2 linked regions of the Oryzias latipes genome follow. The protein of the gene in region 1 interacts with the protein of each later gene in a pairwise test. Links are inferred from orthologs where the notes say so. Each region holds a gene or a part of one and is shown in the gene's direction. Other genes may lie near its edges.

What was found.
Region 2: the proteins of vps33b (region 1) and vipas39 interact in binary tests that used the Homo sapiens proteins (3 or more experiments, as listed by UniProt). The link is inferred for Oryzias latipes from reciprocal best matches to the Homo sapiens genes VPS33B and VIPAS39.

What each region holds. Positions count from the first base shown.
Region 1 is NC_019861.2:284,853-288,661, reverse strand, and holds part of vps33b (vacuolar protein sorting-associated protein 33B), read left to right. Parts: intron 1-73; coding exon 74-168; intron 169-1,783; coding exon 1,784-1,888; intron 1,889-1,971; coding exon 1,972-2,062; intron 2,063-2,136; coding exon 2,137-2,214; intron 2,215-2,509; coding exon 2,510-2,583; intron 2,584-2,652; coding exon 2,653-2,739; intron 2,740-2,804; coding exon 2,805-2,895; intron 2,896-2,964; coding exon 2,965-3,039; intron 3,040-3,145; coding exon 3,146-3,210; intron 3,211-3,281; coding exon 3,282-3,336; intron 3,337-3,402; coding exon 3,403-3,449; intron 3,450-3,520; coding exon 3,521-3,653; intron 3,654-3,809. UniProt on the Homo sapiens protein: May play a role in vesicle-mediated protein trafficking to lysosomal compartments and in membrane docking/fusion reactions of late endosomes/lysosomes.
Region 2 is NC_019882.2:23,108,852-23,113,140, reverse strand, and holds the start of vipas39 (spermatogenesis-defective protein 39 homolog), read left to right. Parts: upstream 1-1,354; 5' UTR 1,355-1,359; coding exon 1,360-1,545; exon of another isoform or gene 1,546-1,649; intron 1,650-1,652; coding exon 1,653-1,874; intron 1,875-3,088; coding exon 3,089-3,181; intron 3,182-3,680; coding exon 3,681-3,783; intron 3,784-3,860; coding exon 3,861-3,998; intron 3,999-4,066; coding exon 4,067-4,105; intron 4,106-4,289. Other genes in the region: activator of 90 kDa heat shock protein ATPase homolog 1, read right to left, coding at 641-743, 1,345-1,354.

The sequences.
Region 1 (3,809 bases):
AGCTTCTCTGCATGTCTGCCTGGAGGCAGGAATGCCGGTTCCAGGTGCTAACACAGTCTCCGTGTCCGGACAGACGTGACCACAGACGAGTGGGCCTTCTACCTCCTCCCCCTTGATGATGACATCTTAAGTATGGAGCTGCCTGAGTTCTTTCACGACAATTTTCTGGTAAATAAAGTTCCAGTGCCTGTGTGGACTATGCAGGACGTACATCTTTGTCTGAGCTGCTCCTAGAATTGTCAGAGTTGTTTTCAGGTCTTCTAGATCAGTGTTTTTCGACCAGTGTGCCGCAGCACACTAGTGTGCGGTGGGAGATGGTCAGGTGTAGGAAATGACCCATTCACTGACCTAAAAACATTTCCATCTCCAGGATATCAGCTCTGTGTTCATCCAAACAGGCCCTGATAAAACACTGAGTAGTTAGGAATATAAAATACTTTTTTCTTTGTGTTTATTTGATTCTATTAAAGACATTTTGATAAGAATGACGGTACCACAATTTAGCCGTAGCTTCAGCTGTTTTAGGAAAAGTCCCGCCCCTTTAACTGTCTCCACCAATCATTCTTGGAGGCTCAATCACATGTCATCAGTCTGACCAATCAGAAGTGGTTAAAGTCTTCACTTCCTTGTTCTGATTTTGCTCATAAAGTCTCTCAGTTCCAACAGAAATACCAGCTAAAGCTCGTCTTTAGCGGTGTAGCTTTCCACAGAATCCGGTGTCAGACCGTGGAACAAGTGAGCGAAACCATGAAGCTCAGAGAAGAGAGTCTGTCTGCCATCACTACATCTCCCATGATGCATTGGGTCAAAGTGACAGCGTCTCAGCGTACAATGAGTCGTCCTTGTTAAACGCCTTGAAACCACAACGAACACACATTAAACAGTTTTTAAATCTTCTAACTTAACTTTTATTCCATCTTTTAGAAAAAACATCTGCAGCTTCCAGCTTTTTCTGCCACAATTATCACAAAAATGTATGAGATCATGGAGGGACTGTAGATCAATACAGACTATGACTTTCTCCTTTTTTTTTTTTTGGATGCTGGTGTGCCGCAGGATTTTTGTCAAGGTTAAAGTGTCCCGTGGCTCAAAAAAGGTTGAAAAACACTGATCTAGACCTTTCCATTTCAATTAAACACCTCACAATAAAGCTTTTCGTAACAGAACTCTCTATTTGGAGACAGGATTTGTTTTTGTAGGTATGGCTGAGATGACAAAGCCTAAACTATCATTCTGTCTTTTGATTGGCCCATACTGTTCAGGGATCCGAACTGTAAACAGAATCAGAGGTTTGATGTGTTTGTGGTGGCAGGAATGCCTTCTCCCTGTTCTGGTTCTCACATCCATTGACTGTTTAGAGAACTGGACCGGGTCAGTGGGTCATCACCCCTAGACAATGGCTTGTTTCCAGTTCCAATGAAGTAAAGTGCGTTTTTCTTGATGTGGATGCTGCTATGTTGAAGCCAGATGATGTCAGTAAGCAGAGATTGGTCTGAATCAGTCGTGTTACACTCATTCAGTCCACGTTTTCTGTACAGTCAATGTGTTTCACATTAACGTTTAGTGATGTAGTTGTTATCAGTTGTTATGCTCCCAATAAATATGTCAACAGTCTACAAAGGATTTTTTTTAACCTTTTCCCTCATTTTTGTCTTGAGTTCAGTAGTTGTAAAGCTGCCAAGCTCAAGTCTTCTTTTCAGAATACAAGTTGAACCCCTGCTGTTTTCCACCAGGAAGTCAGAGCTGGGCTTTCACATCAGGATTTACGCTGTCTCTCTTCCAGGCAGGAGATCAGCGGTGGCTGAGAACAGTAGGGGGCGCTCTGCACCTCCTCCACTCGGTTTACGGCCCGTTCTCCAAGCTGTACGGGATTGGCTCCTGTTCCCAGGTGCAGCGAGTCTTCTCCGCCCCCTCCAGGTTCTCCTGGCCTTTTTTCCGCTGGCCTGAAAAGTGTTTCCGTCTTGACTGCAGATGACGTACGAGTGGTGGAGGGAGCAGGTGGAGCAGGGAGAACAAGGAGCTCGTCCTGCTGAGATTGGGAGTGTCTTTCTCATTGACCGAGGTGGGACGGTTGATCCTGGAGGGGGGGTCCTGATGCGCGGCTCTGCCTTATCGGCTTCTCCTCTGTCTCCTCAGACGTAGACTTCGTCACTCCTCTGTGCTCACAGGTGGTGTACGAGGGGCTGCTGGACGACATTTTTCGGATCAAGTGTGGTTGGTGTTGGTCGTTGGACAGTTGACTTGGCTTTGACTCTGATGTGTTTGTGCTCAAACCTGCTCCATGCACCTCAAGGTTACCTTTGAAACTTGAAAGAGGCGGATGCTGGTTCTGCTGCTTCTTCTCTACTTTTCTGCTTTTTTGTTGTTTGTCTTTCCTCTCCTTTTTGGTTTCCTTTGGTCCTTTCTGTTTCTTCTTCAGTTTTTCCCTGACTCTTCTCTGGTTGCTCTGTGCTTCTTTTGGCCTCGTCTTCTCTCCTCACTGGTTTTCATCTTTGTGGTTTGTCTGCAGGCTGCGTGGAGTTTGGTCCAGACGTCACCTCCTCTGACAGAAGTGTGAAGGTCATGCTGAACTCCCAGGATAAGGTGGGCTGGGATGGGAGCTGCAGCTCCTTCTCTGTGCACACTCTGGACTGATCCTGTCTCTTTCTGCAGGTCTTCAATGAAATCCGAAACGAACATTTCTCCAACGTCTTTGGTTTCCTCAGCCAGAAGGCCAGGAACCTGCAGACTGCATACGACGTGCGTGAGTGTTGTGAAACCCGTGGTAGTCAGTGAGCCGCTCTGACGCTGTGGTGACCCTGCAGAAGCGTCAGGGGATGGACATCAAGCAGATGAAAACGTTTGTGTCTGAGGAGCTGAAAGGACTGAAGCAGGAGCACCGGCTGCTCAGCCTGCGTAGGTTTGAGTGACAGGCTCCACGGGGTGACACCAGCAAATGCGTGCTGACCTGCGTTTGTTCTGCAGACATTGGTGCTAGTGAGTCCATCATGAAGAAGAAGACAAAGCAGGACTTCCAAGAGCTGCTGCAGAGAGAACACTGTGAGCCACTGATGCTTTTGCCGCTGAGCTTCTCCAGAGAGGCTGATTGAAACAAGCTTTAAGGCTTTTTCTTCTTCCTATTGGTTTTTAACGTCTGTTTCTTCAGGTCTACTTGAAGGCTTTGAAATCCGTGAAAGCATTTCCTTCATAGAGGAGCACATCAACAGACAGGTGAGTCCTCGTCGACACGGTTAGGAGATGAAACTCCACAAAGTCCGACCCCGTTCCTCCGTTTCCTGCAGATCTCCATGATGGAAAGCCTGCGGATGCTGTGTCTTCTGTCCATCACAGAGAACGGTAAACACTCACTCCTCAAAAAGGGATGGGTTGTTCTTGTTTTTTCATGATTCTGCTTCATCACAGGACTGCTGCCCAAAGACTATCGCTCTTTGAAGACGCAGTACCTCCAGGTACGTTCTTAAAGCAGCTTTATGAGTCCAATGAGGTGGACATCAACTTCTGCAATGTCGGCTGTCTTCAGAGTTATGGCTTTGACCACCTGCTCACCTTCTCCAACCTGAGGCAGCTGGGGCTGCTGGTGGAGCAGCAGGGGGCGGAGACGCTCACCGTCATGGAAAGCAAAGTGGGAAAGCTGGTCAACGACAAAACGGCAGGTACACCAGTCCTGATTAGTCCTTCAGACCAACGTCAGATCATGAAAGTCCACTTTGAGGTAGAAAGTGTCATCATAGCAAAGATCTAAATAACGGGGGTCCACACGGCTTACAGAAGATTCATGAAATGTTCACAGAACCTCTAAGAACAATGGA
Region 2 (4,289 bases), on another chromosome or scaffold:
CATCAGGAGCTCCCATCGACGCTCAAGCATGTTTAAGGTATGACTCTCCTCACTAGAGATGGGATAATGCCTCAAGAAGTGTGACACATTATCCAAACTGTGACACTAGTGATGGGCAGATGAAGCTTCATGAAGTGATGAAACTTTCATCCAGTTAGTTCGCTCAAGCGCTCTAGGAGGATATCTAGTGGATGCAAAAAATCTGTTGAATTTGAAATGTGACACTTTGAAAAGCCAATGAATGGACATGTCAGCAAAATAAAGTTTAACATGTATGTTGCCAAGTACTCTGTTAACCTATGACTTTGGTGTTCAATCATACAGAATAACAGACTAAAAGTGGATTCATTCAGACATTTCAGTGAGACGACAAGTTTTTGCTCCAAGATGATCTCTTTTGGTAGAACATATGAAGCTGCAATGAGCTCCAGGATCCAACAATCCCTCCTTTTCAACAGTGATGAGTGGCTGACAGTCTTTGATCATCTTCACCACGGCCTCCTCTGCTGGTTAGGAACTGAACACTAAAGGAAATATTTCCTTTAAAGATCTGTCATTTTACAAACAATATAGCAGAGTCACACAAAGCCTTCGGTGTGTAATAAACTATTCTTAATCAACATATTTGTGAGATACTCACATGAGGATCTGCATATTGTCTGACAAGTTAGGCTCTAACACGTGCCCACCAGGGGAGCTGGAGGGAAGCCCGGGCATCTTCTGCTGCCCCCACAGACCCGGTCCTGGATGAGCGGATGGAGATGTTAAGCTCTATAATGCCTCAGCGTTGATGAAGTGTTCTTTTTGATGCTCTGTGGAGTTGACACTTCTCTTAATGCCTACAATAAAATAAGGTTCATTTATCTGAAATCAATTCAACTTTCTTACAGAAAAGGATAGACGCATGTTTCATTCAAAAACTAAAAGCAAACAATGTCCAAAGGTGAAAAATGTTGACTTTTTTGCTATCAAAAGATCAAAATGGTTCCAGACTGGGGGAAATTTCTTATTGGAACGATCCATGTAGTCAGAACAGTTTCATCTCCATTCAACAAATCTACAACACAAGGCTAAACGCAGCAACACTCACAAACACAATTTGGCACAACTCTCCCAAACAAAAGCCGTCCTGACAGCCTCCCTAATCCCAGGACTCTTCCTGGGTTTAGGGAGGCGGCTTTTCCAAACTCCCCTCTTCCAGATTCTAGACTGTTATTGAAAATGCCTGAGAGAAAATGTCAGTTAAGATCTGTTCACAAGTTCTGTGAGCTGCAGAGACATAATGTTTAAATGAATGCAAAAAAAAAGATCATCTGAGCTCAAAAAGGATGCAGCTAAACGTACCTTTTAGCATGAAAAATGCAGAAGCTTGGAGTCCAGTGGGGTCTCTGCCAACCCGGGACCCTGCAGAGAGTGGAAGTCAAATGGATTTTTCCAGGAGGGACTTCTGCATCTGGCACCCCCGCCCCGTCTCAGTGGACCACTGACACGAGTATTTTGTCCAGTCAATGGGTGTACTCACAAAGGCATTGGCTCCTCCCACAGGTGAGCTCTTAGGTATGACTGACGTGGTTTTCTTCGCGGAAACTATTGAGTTTCATGATGGAGATGAAAAAAACCATGAACGTCTGGTTTTTACTGATAAATACCAGGTTAATGGGCGGAAGAGCAGAAAACATCTGCATGTCAACGCGGACCCCTTCAGGGCCGTGTGGCCGGGAGGAGGTTCCGCTGCGACCAGAGGGGGCGCTGTTTCCCCTCTGAGGGAGGAGGGGAGTCGCCGCCCACCCTCAAAGAAGAATCAGTCAGGAGGAAGAGGAGCAACAGCTGGAGGAAGAGGAGCAACAGCTGGAGGTGTCGTCTGCACCGTAGAGGTTGGCATCAGTTATCAATTAGTCTGATTGTGTCTGTTGTTCGTGTCAGCTGTCGTCATGTTTACGTCACTACGTTCGTCAGGAGATGTTTGTTAGCCTGCTAGCATGCTAGCATCTCAATTGCGGGTGCCCAAATATTTTCACGTCAGCTCTTCTTTACCTTATCTGTAAACAACAAACAACGTCTCACGACACCGAGGCTGGCGGGGGGGGGGGGGGGCTGAAGCGGACAGCGGGGGTTGAGTCTGCAGACGGTCTGACTGATGAAGATGATGAAGAAGAGGCAGCAGACCGTCCTTTCCGGCGCAGGTGCTCAGCGGAAGTCCTGACCATGATGGAGCTTCCTGTTAAATCCTGTCAGTATTGTTTCCTTGGACTCCGTGAAGACTTCCTCCGTCTGCTGTGGCTCTGAAGGCTTGTGGAGAGTCTCATCCTTCCTGTGGAAAAGCCCACGTAAAGCTGCGACTCCGCCAAATCTTCAGGACCTCTTCCTTTTGGAGCTAAGACTGTCAGTCTGTGGTCTGAGGAAACTGACCGCTCCACGAGCCGCTGCCTCTTCCTCCAACACCCCAGACTTAGACTGAGCTCACTGTAGAGATGAGTTGCAGTAACTGCAGCAGGTGGATTAAGGGGAAAAAGGTCAAACATGCAACACAGCTGAGGCCCAGGTACAGACAGCGATGTCTTTCAGGTGCCTCTAACCTCCAAAACAGAACCATCTCCACTTCACCACTTTGGTTCGGCCTCTTCCATGACGTTTGGGATCCATCCTTTCAAACGGATTCATCCTCGAAGCGCCGTTACGTTCCGTGACATTCCGAAAGCCGGAATGAAACTGCCTGCAGCAGTGTGTCTTTTTCAAAGACTCGTAACTTTGGCAGCAGGAAATTCAACCAGCAACCCTTTGGTTGGGTTTGGTTCTTCCGACTAAGTTTTCCATGGTTGTTTTTAGGCTGCATGTGTGATCTGAGTTTGAGGTGAAAATCCACAAGCATCACTGCAGAAGGCTCATGTCACGCCTTCCCAGCAGCGCTCTCACTGCAGTGTTTCCAGGCAGCAGGTGTATATTTCCACTGTATGTTCTTTTAGAAGAACCTCCACCAATTGTTGTGGACCCCCCTGCTTACAGCCCCTTATTTTGAAAACCCACCAACCTCAAAGAATGACAGAGTGGTGACCAATGTCTCTGAAGCGGATTCTGTCTCTGCAAACAGATGATGAGGAGCAAGGCGGATGAGGAAGAGTACTGGCACAGTTCCAAGTTCAAGGCTTTCACTTTCGAGGACGAAGATGAAGAGCTCAGCAGGGTAAGATGCTTTTAAGTGAAGTCACTCAGACTCCTTTGTCTGTTTTCTGATGTGTCCAGGTCTAGACTCCTTCAGAGTTCCTCTGGGTCCCATAGGGTTCTTTGGGTTTGTGAGGTCTCCTTAGTCTCTTAAGGTTCTTTGGGGATCTCAGTGTCACTCTGCATCCTTCGCCCTTTTTGTTTCTTTAGATCTTTCAGATTTCTTCAGAGATGTGAAATGATCCTTTTATGCTCTTCAAGTTCCTTTGGGGTTCTCTGGGTTCATTGGAGAGCCATAGATTTGTTTTGACATCTTTGGGTTTTTCAGGTTCTTCAGTTGATGTTTATTTTTCTTAGAAGTCCAAACCAAGACAGCCTTAGGTTTCTCTGTTCGGTTTAACAATCTCTACAAAAATAATCCATCACTAAGTGAAGGTGCTCTGATGAGGGTTGTGGGTTTCTGTTGTGTTACTGAAGTGGGGGTGAATAAAGTTGGTTGAATCAGGACTGTGCTGTGATAGCTGAAGGAGTCAAAGCAGGCGGTTAACAGCATTCGGCAGCTGGTGGAGGAAGATGATGATGATGACACGGAGAAGGTCAGCTGGAGTGGAGAGCCAGTTGGCAGTAAGTCACCTTAAGGTGGGGGGGGGTCCTGCTTTGTGACTGGCTGCAGGGATATGACCTAGGGATTGGTTTTTCAGGTATCTCCTGGTCCATCAAAGAGATGGCAGGGTCCAATCAGAAGATAGACAGAGAACCCGCCTTCCCCAGAATCCCAACAGAACCATCAACCCTTAACAAAAGTCACTCCGGACTCTCTCTGAGCTCCCTGTTCAGAGGTATGTGGTGGGAACGGGTCATGTGACCCAGACAGACAAACATCTGACTTACATCTGTCTGCCTGCAGGAAAAGCAAAATCAGAAAACTTCCAGAGCTTCTCCGACGGTCAGTGATGGAAACATGCATCATTTTAAGACTTAAGGCCACTGTCAGGTCTGTTGAGGGATCCCCAAATCAGAGAAAGAGGATTGTCTGATGTGATGACCACAGATGATGGAGCCCTTTGAAGAAACCTTTTGACAATCCTTATTCTTTTGTATTTCTTGCAAGGTCACCTCAAAAGTGGTTT